2 linked regions of the Oryctolagus cuniculus genome follow. The protein of the gene in region 1 interacts with the protein of each later gene in a biochemical or structural test. Links are inferred from orthologs where the notes say so. Each region holds a gene or a part of one and is shown on either strand. Other genes may lie near its edges.

Region 1 (3,852 bases):
ACCCACCAACGTCTCGCAAACGGCTGCCTACGGGGTCAGCTCCTGGCATGTCTATAACATAACAAACGTTCCTGGCCCATCGGCTCGGTGGGCCCCAGGCACTGGCATTGTCACCAATTTGGATCACCTGTTCTAGTTGTGAAAACCCATTTGGGACCATCAGAGATAAGGAGACTTAAGAGCCCTTGCTGGGATCTGAGCTGGCTACAGGTGTGGTGAGACCAGTGGCTGGGTGGGGCGCTGGGAGGGGGCGGGGAGGGGGGCAGTGTTCAAGTTCAGAGATGAAGGAGGGAGGGGCAGATGCTCGTTCTGGAATGGGAGCCAAACCAGGTGTCCTGGTTCCATCGCTCCTTGAATGTCTGTCGGGGCTGCTAATCAGGTGCTGGCGTGGCTGGGACCCTCGCGTGGGGAGCTGGGGACGGGGGCTCTTTGGCAACAGACCAGATGCCTTTAGTGGAGAATGGCGTGGGAGCCCGGGGAGGCACGCTTTGTGTGTGAGACCCCACCACCTTGACTGTCGAGGCCAGCTGCACTGTGCAGATGGTCCCCAGGCTCCGGGGGTTGAGCCACGGGGTCCTACCTTGGATGCAGCCACCAGCTGGGCTGTGCTAGCAGCAATTTCGCGTGAACACACCATGAGCTCCTCGAATTTCCCTCTGCCTTGCACCACCAGGTCAGCTGCGTCCCTGACAGGAAAGAATGTGACAAGGGCCAGGTCAGAGGCAGCTCAGGACCCAACCCCTGCAGCCCCTCCCGTTGGCCCTGTCTAGACTAGAAGGGGACAATGCCAGCCCCGTCCTTGTCAACTCCAGCTTCCCTGTGAAGCCTTCAGTCTTTACCAACAACAGTTCCCTTCCAGGGGACTATGGGTCAAGGGAGCGGGACCGAGGGAGGGGACCGGGCGCTGTAGCCACTTACACCATGACGGTGGCTCCCCAGCCCACCGCTTTGGAGGCTGAGATGAGCCCTTCTGTCCAGCGAGAGTTCTTGGCATAAAATTCCTTAGGGGACGCAGTGCCCTGAGAGGGGAAAGGAAAGAAGGGGTCACCTTTTACCGAGCGCCTGCTCTGGGTCTACCACTTCGGTTGACGGGTCCTGGGTGGTCCTGGCTGGTCCTGGCAGTAACTCAGGGAGGGAACCAGTGGTCCCGTCCCATTGCTCAGGGGAGAAAACCAAGACCCAGAGAGGCGACTGTGCTCCCCCCCGGGGGGCACTGCACACTGTCAGTCCTGGGCATGTCTACTCTACCTCAATCTTCCTACCATAAGTCCCCTACTTCTGTGGACTCAACAAAACACTGCTCAGAATTAGTTGGCGGGGGTGGGAATATTTTTTTCCTCTTGTCAGTAATCCCTAAACCATACAGTAGGAGCAGCTGCTTCCATAGCACTGACACTGTATTTGGCCTAAGTCATGTAGAGAGGATTTGAAGTTTACGGGAGGGGACTGGTAATGTTAGGCAGCAAACTAAGCCTCCGCTTACAATGCTGACATCCAGCATTGGGGCACTGGTTCAAGTCCCGGCTGCTCCACTTCCAATCCAGTTCCCTGCTAATGGGCCTGGGAAAGCAGTGGAGGATGGCCGGAGTACCTGGGCCCCTGCCACCCACATGGGAGACCCGGATGGAGATCCTGGCTCCTGGATTCAGCCTGGCCCAGTCCTGGCCACTGTAGCCATTTTGGGGGAGTGAATCAGTGGATGGAAGATCTCTTTCTCCCCTTCAAATAAATGAATAAATCATAAAAACAAAAGTTATGAAAGGGAGCGTGCAGATTATGTACAAATATGATGCCATTTTATATAAGCAACTTGGCATTTCTATGGGGCGGGGGGTGGCGGGGAAGGTGTCCTGGCACTAATCCACAGTGGGTTTCAAGAGGAACCGAGATATCAGAACTCACATACTCAGCGATGAGTCAGTTATGATCTGGGGCGAGTCTAGCTGCTTTCCACCATTTCCCAAAAGATGGGAGGACGCGATGAATAATTTACAAAGCATTATGTCTACTTGAAGTTCCAGAACATTCTCAGGCTTTGTTAGTGTCTGCCAGTGTGCCAGGCCCAGATGGATCAGGGGGCACCCCCAAAGCAGAAACAGCTGCTGGCTCCCTCCCTGGGCCCCTTCCTAGAGGGAGAGACAAACTGGGCCAGGCAGGGACCAACAGCCCAGCGACGGCAGAGCTGGTTGTGAGAGACAGCAGGGAGCGGACTCGGATGGAAGCAGACATGGCCAGACTCCCGGGAAATGTCGGTCCCAGGCATGCGTGTCCATCTGCCCAGGTTCCAGAAGCCCTTGTTCCTCTCAGAGGGCCTGGAAGTGCCGTGTAAGGAGGGTTCCCAGGGCCGGTGTTGTGACGCAGCAAGTTAAGCAACCACCTGCCAAGCTGGCATCTTATGTGGGCACTAGTTCAAGTCCTGGCTGCTCCACTTCCGATCTGGCTCCCTGCTGACGCGCCTGGGAAGGCAGCGGGGACATGGTACAGAGTGCTTTGGCCCCTGTGGGAGTCCTGGATGGAGTACCAGACTCCTGATTTTGTCCCGGCTCAGTCCTGGCCATCGTGGCCATTTTGGGGGGTGAACCAGTGGATGGAAGATCTGTCTCTCTCTCTCTCTCACTCTGTAATTCTGCCTTTCAAATAAATAAATGTCTTTTTTAAAAAACAAAACAAAACAAAACAAAAAAAGAGGTTTCCCCGGTTGGGTCACAGCGGCGACTCACCAACCCAGACCACCCGACCCCCAGGCTGATGACCGATCACGAGAAGGGGTGGCTCGCCCACGGGGGGTTCACAGGACCAGACATCAGTGCCGCTAGACCCCAGGGATCATGGAGTCAGACCTGCGCTCCCCACCTGCGGGCCCAGCCTGCATGCCTACCCGGCCGCTCTCTACGATCTCCCTCTGGAGGTCCTTGGAGGCCACAATCAGGACCTGAATGGCTTGCATCAGGCCGGTACAGGAGCCGAGGATCCTGGGAGAAGCAAAGCAGATAGTCAGGGCCGCGGGCACGTGGGAGCCCCAAGGACAGCAAGGCAGGCGAAGCGACCTCACTGTCACCGTCAATGCTGTCGCCCCCGGGGCAGCTCAGTTCCCTCTGACCCCTGAACGGGTTTGCAGAGCACAGCCCCCGGCCAGCGAGACTCATCCTGCCCACACGGGTGCCACCGCCGCTCAGACCAACCTCTCGTTCACCTCCAGCTTCACGCCTGTGTCTCCTGCACGGGATTTGCTCAGCATTTCCTGTTTTAAAAAAAAAGCACAGTTTTCCAAACGCACCTCCAGGACCGAGAAGCCGGTTCTACTGTACCTCCCTGCGGAAGCTGGGGAACCTGAACTGGGGAGTCCCCAGGCAGGGAAGGGCTCTGGCCCCATCTCTGTGCAGGTGCAATGGGCAGTGACAGCAGGTGGAGCAGGCTGTGCGCCCTTTCCACACCCTGTCCACCTGGCACCTGGGCTTGTGTGCACGGAACCCTGGCAGCCACAGGCCCGGGGGGTGCCAGAGGCAGGTGCTCACACCTCGGGGGGTGGTCTGGGCCCCTCCAGCGAGGGAGCAACCTGGGACCTTCCCCAAGGCGCCCGCTAAGCTTTCCGTGAATGAACCTCCCATGAGGGGGTGCCACCAATTTCCGGAGTGCCTGGCACCCAGAGGGAGATGGGCACTGTCTCATGTCACCCGTGCAGCAGGCCCCTGGAGTGGGTATGACGACTGCTGCCATTGTGGAAATGGTACAGGGATCCTACAGCAGCCGGAAGGCTTGGAAGGGGTCCGTCTGGAAGTCGACCCCCGGATGTGCTCACACTGTAGTGGCTCCTTAAACGGCTCACTGCCCTTCTGCAAGGACTTACTGTTT
Region 2 (4,472 bases), on another chromosome or scaffold:
TTGCTCTAGAGAAGCAGTTTTGGCCTCGCTGAGAGCCCACACACACCCACACACAGCATTACCGGAGCGTTCCCACAGTGCTGTCTGATCCATCGCTATGTTTCCATCCCGGGGATAAACCCCGGGCATGTGTGTCTGACCCATTTTGCAACAAGGGCAGAGAGGGACCAGAACATTCCTGTAAGCTTACCCAGACCCAGCAGGGAAACTGGGCTTGCCCAGAACTGACTGGCAAGTCAGAGCCAGGCTGGCTGCTTAGACAGCTGGGTGTGAAAATGTAAACCTTCTGGGACCTCCCCAAGGCTGATGAATGGAAACAAAGTGTCCGGTGCTCAGGCTGGCTACAGATTCAGCCCCACCCGCCCCATCCCCAGCAGAGACTCAATTCAGGGCGCAGGCCCACCCCAGACACCTCTGTCCCCAGGGGCACTGGAAGCCCAACATCAGAGCACACAACAGTGGCACTGCTCAGACAGCGACCCCCTCATCTAAGAGAAGGCGGGGCAGAGGTGTTAAGTGGCAGCTGCTGAGGCTGGAGCCAGCTTCCGCTCAGCTCCGGGGAGGCCCAGACCCTCCCCTGCCCCATCCAGGCGCCCTGGCCTCATCTCAGGTCTGGGGAGGATTGTCTGTTCCGTGCTGCCTGCGCTTAGAGGGGCCAGATCAATTCTCCCCAGTGAAGCCGCCCGCTGAGCTGCCCACCACCGCCATCCCCATAGCCACCCAGGAAGGCAGCCTCAGTGGGTGAGCCTGCTTGCCCGAGGGCTGTGTCCCCAGCAGCTCCCTGTAAGTCCCTGGTTGTTTCTTTCCCTGTCACCTTGGATCTGGGGCCAGTCGGTACCCCAGGCCTGCAGGTCGGTGGAGCCCCACTGTTCTGGGAGAGGCTGCAACCTCCTCAACTCTCCCGTGCCTCTGGCTGCCCTGGGCCTGCATCCCACCTGCCCTTCTCTCTCTGACAACTGCTGGGCCCAGCAGGGCCTCTCAGGGCTGAGCCAGACTGGGGGAAAGGAATGGGCTCATCAGGGAGGAGGCTGGATAAATGAATGTTTGGCTCATGAACTTGAGGTGCTGGGAGTTGCTGCTTCCGAAGACCTCTGAGGCTGGCATGCTCAGGTAAGGAAACACCTGCCCATGGTATTTCCACATCTCTTGGTCTCCCAGGGAGGTTGCCACAGCATGGAGCCCAGAGGTAAGCAGCCCAGCTTTGGCAAGAGAGGCAGGCTCTCGAGATCTCCAGTGCCTCACGTGTTACAAAAGATTTGTTACATTTCTTACATGGAGGCCTAAGGGTTGCTTCTAATTCCTGGGTCACAGAAACTGCCTAGTTCTACATCCCCCAGGTTTGGGATGGTGGGGGCAGGACTGGCACACACTAGGTGTTCAGCAAACAGTCAAATAATCACACATATTACTGTAAAGAGCTTTGTAAACATTATATATGAGAATACTGCAGAAATTTCAAAGAAATGTTTATTTGGGTGCAAAAAAATGTGAAATGCATGCATATGAGGGGTCTTCAAAAAGTTGGTGGAAAATGCGTATTATGAAAATTCTATGGCTGGATTTCAGTTTTTTTTTTCTGCACCAAAAAACTCTTTTCTTTAAATTCCATTTTCCACCAACTTTTTGAAAGCCGCTGCATGTAGGGATCCATGTGAGCACTTATCCCAACAGCCCCACAAACTCCTGCAGAAAGACAGCTTTAGCAGAAGCAACGTATGTTTTGGATGTATTCACAAAGATGCCATCTACTTTCTTATTCAGTTTTTTGAGAAAAAAAAATTTCAAACTAAAATCAGAGCAAGAACACCAATGATAAATACTATACCCCAGGGTCCAGGCCCCAGAGCCAACCACAGCAGCTCTGGACTGCCAGTACTCATTCCTGAAGGGCAGGAAAAAGCTGAGGGGTGCCCCTGCCCCAACCCCAGGGGGTGCACATTGGGGACAGCAGGGTCGGCTGGAGAGGCTTTGGAGTGTGACAGAAACAGATTCAAATTCTTCATCTGCCACTTCTTAGTCATTTCAATAGCGCGCCTCCGTGTAGCTGGCTCGGAAATGGGCTCAGCAGTGCCTGCGAGATGATTCACCGGGACTGCCCTGTCCGCCCCCAGGGACTGTAGGGTGGCGGAGGAGGTTTGCGAGTTCCTGGAGTACTAGTGTCCCTGGCTTCCCCCGCTGTGGGCCAGAGCTATGCTGAAGGGCCAGGAGGTGGCTTGGTTCCGCCCACATCTGCACCACTCACCGGGGAGCCTGGGACGGCCAGGCCATTAGAAGGCTCGGGAGGAACTGGATTCCAGAGCCAGGCCTGGCGGCGAAGCTGGCCTGGGGGGTGAAATGTCATGCCGGATTCTGAGAGTCACCAGACCCGACCCACAGTCCCGGGAGAGCGCTCAGCTCCTGCCCCTCCCTGAGGTCTTGCGTGAGGACCTCCAGGGAAATGCCTGCCCACTTCCCGCAGGCCCGCTCCCTACCCACGCACGGCCCCCGGCCGGCCCCTGGCGGGCCTACCGCAGGCCCGCTTCACTGCACGGCAGGGGCCCTAGGCCAGGGGCCCCCGGGGGCCAGCCCCAAGCCCCCAGCTCCCGGGCCCTGGCGCTGACTCACCCCCGCTCGCGGGTCCCGGCGGCGCCGCGGCCACCTGGCCGGCGGCAGGTGCGGCAAAGCCTTCGTCGTTCTCGATGCCCGCGATCTCGCTCTCCTGCTGAGCCAGGAAGGCGGCCGCCGGGTCCTCCTCAGCCGCCCCGCTCTCGGACGGCGGGAAGAAGCCGAAGTCCTCAGCCATCTTCCCCGGTGCCTGCTGCAACCGTACCTGGCGCTGTCACCCGAGCCACCGCGGGACCGGCCTCGGCGCGGCGGCCCCGACTTCCTCTCTCCGCCACCGGGCCCGGCGCGCCTGTCACTGCGGCTGCAGGCGCCGCGGCGGGAGGAGCCGGGAGCGGGAATGTGGTGATGTCACCGGCCGAGGGAGGGGGCCCGGGACGGCCCGGAGGTCGCCTCGCGACGGCCACAGGAGGGCGGCAGCAGAACGGCGCCGGAGCGCCTGGGGGCCCGGCGGGCTGGCTCCTGGCTCCTCGGCCGGCCGCGAGCGCGTTTCGCTCTGGTGGGGTCGGTCGGCGGGGCGCACGGCGCAAAGTGGCCGCAGGGCGCGCTGGGCCGCGGCCGGCCTGCGCAGAGTTCGCTCAGGACTCGTTCGGCCAAAGCCCTCTAGCCTCGGCGGGGTCGGTGTTGGGAACCCTACCACCTGCGCCTGGAGGTTGGGAAGGAGGCTGGCAAAGCCTTCGCCGCGTCGCTCCCAGCACGGCCGTGTCGCTTTCGTGCTTTTGCCCTCCGTGTCTCTTCCTTGGAGGAGGCGCCCGCTCTTAGGACCAGCGCGGCCCCTTCGACGGCCTTTGGGTAAGAAGTGCTGGAGAAAGGCACACTTAATTTATCCAGGCAGGCTACTGGGCCACGCTCGGTAATCTGTCCCTGAATGTCACCTCTCTACCTCTGCTTTGCCAGGTACCAGGGCGATCCCAGGCTAGCCAGACGGACTCACGGCAAAGCAGGCAGACTTTTAAACACAAGACTTTGGGAGACCAGAGCAGCACCATGGAATTTCGGTTGTTTATCATCATCAACATCATCATCATTATCATCATCATTGTTATTAAATTGAAAACCACAGAGAGCGGGAAATCTCTCATCAGCTGGTTCACTCCCCAAATGCAACAGCAGGCAAGGGGCAGGCAGAAGCCAGGAGCAGGGGAACCCAATGCAGGTGGATGGCAAGGACCCAGCTACTTCAGCCATCACTTGCTTCCTTTCGGGTGCACACGGCGGGAAGTTGGAACCCCGGAAGAGCTAGGACCTGAATCCAGGCACTCCAATGTGGGATGGAGACATCTCAGGCAGCAGCTTAACCATGAGGCCAAGAGCCTACCTTATGGCAACGCAGTTAAACCGCTGGTTCTCGTACTGGCTGCCCCACATCCAATCCAGCTCCCTGGGAAGGTGGAGCCTAGGAAAGTGGGCTCCCTGCCCCTCATGTGGAAGTCAGGCTCCTGGCTTTCCTACCTGGCCCAGCCCTGGCAGCTGCAGCCATCTGGGGAGTAAACCAGTGAATGAAGATCCCTCTCTGTCCATCCCTTGTCTCTGTAACTCTCCCTTTCAAATAAATAAATAAATCTAAAAACAAAGCAAAACATTAGGCCACATGCTAGCCCCTCTATTTCTGATGTGAGACTTGAAGGTTGACTTTGAGTTACGCACCAGAACAGAGAAGGCAAAGCTGTGCCCCAAGCTGTGAGTCGTGGTTCCCTCAGGCAGCAGAGAGTGAAAGTCGAGGGAAGGGAATTTGTCATTTCGCCTCGTAATGCTTAGATGTCGCGTGCAGCCTCGTTATGAGAATGTAGGTGTCTATTAGCGGTGTGAATGAAAGACAGGTAAGGCCTTGCACACTGTGCTCCAAGCCCCCACTGCCAATGCAGCACCAT

What was found. The genes of interacting proteins can lie anywhere in the genome.
Region 2: the proteins of HIP1 (region 1) and CLTB form a complex in vitro, tested with the Homo sapiens proteins (2 studies listed by BioGRID, with this or other methods). The link is inferred for Oryctolagus cuniculus from reciprocal best matches to the Homo sapiens genes HIP1 and CLTB.

The regions. Positions count from the first base shown.
Region 1 is NC_091450.1:50,706,538-50,710,389, forward strand, and holds part of HIP1 (huntingtin-interacting protein 1), read right to left. Parts: intron 3,242-3,852; coding exon 3,183-3,241; intron 2,973-3,182; coding exon 2,879-2,972; intron 1,020-2,878; coding exon 919-1,019; intron 687-918; coding exon 581-686; intron 1-580. UniProt on the Homo sapiens protein: Plays a role in clathrin-mediated endocytosis and trafficking. Involved in regulating AMPA receptor trafficking in the central nervous system in an NMDA-dependent manner. Regulates presynaptic nerve terminal activity.
Region 2 is NC_091437.1:62,417,554-62,422,025, forward strand, and holds the start of CLTB (clathrin light chain B), read right to left. Parts: upstream 2,947-4,472; 5' UTR 2,783-2,946; coding exon 2,605-2,782; intron 1-2,604. UniProt on the Homo sapiens protein: Clathrin is the major protein of the polyhedral coat of coated pits and vesicles.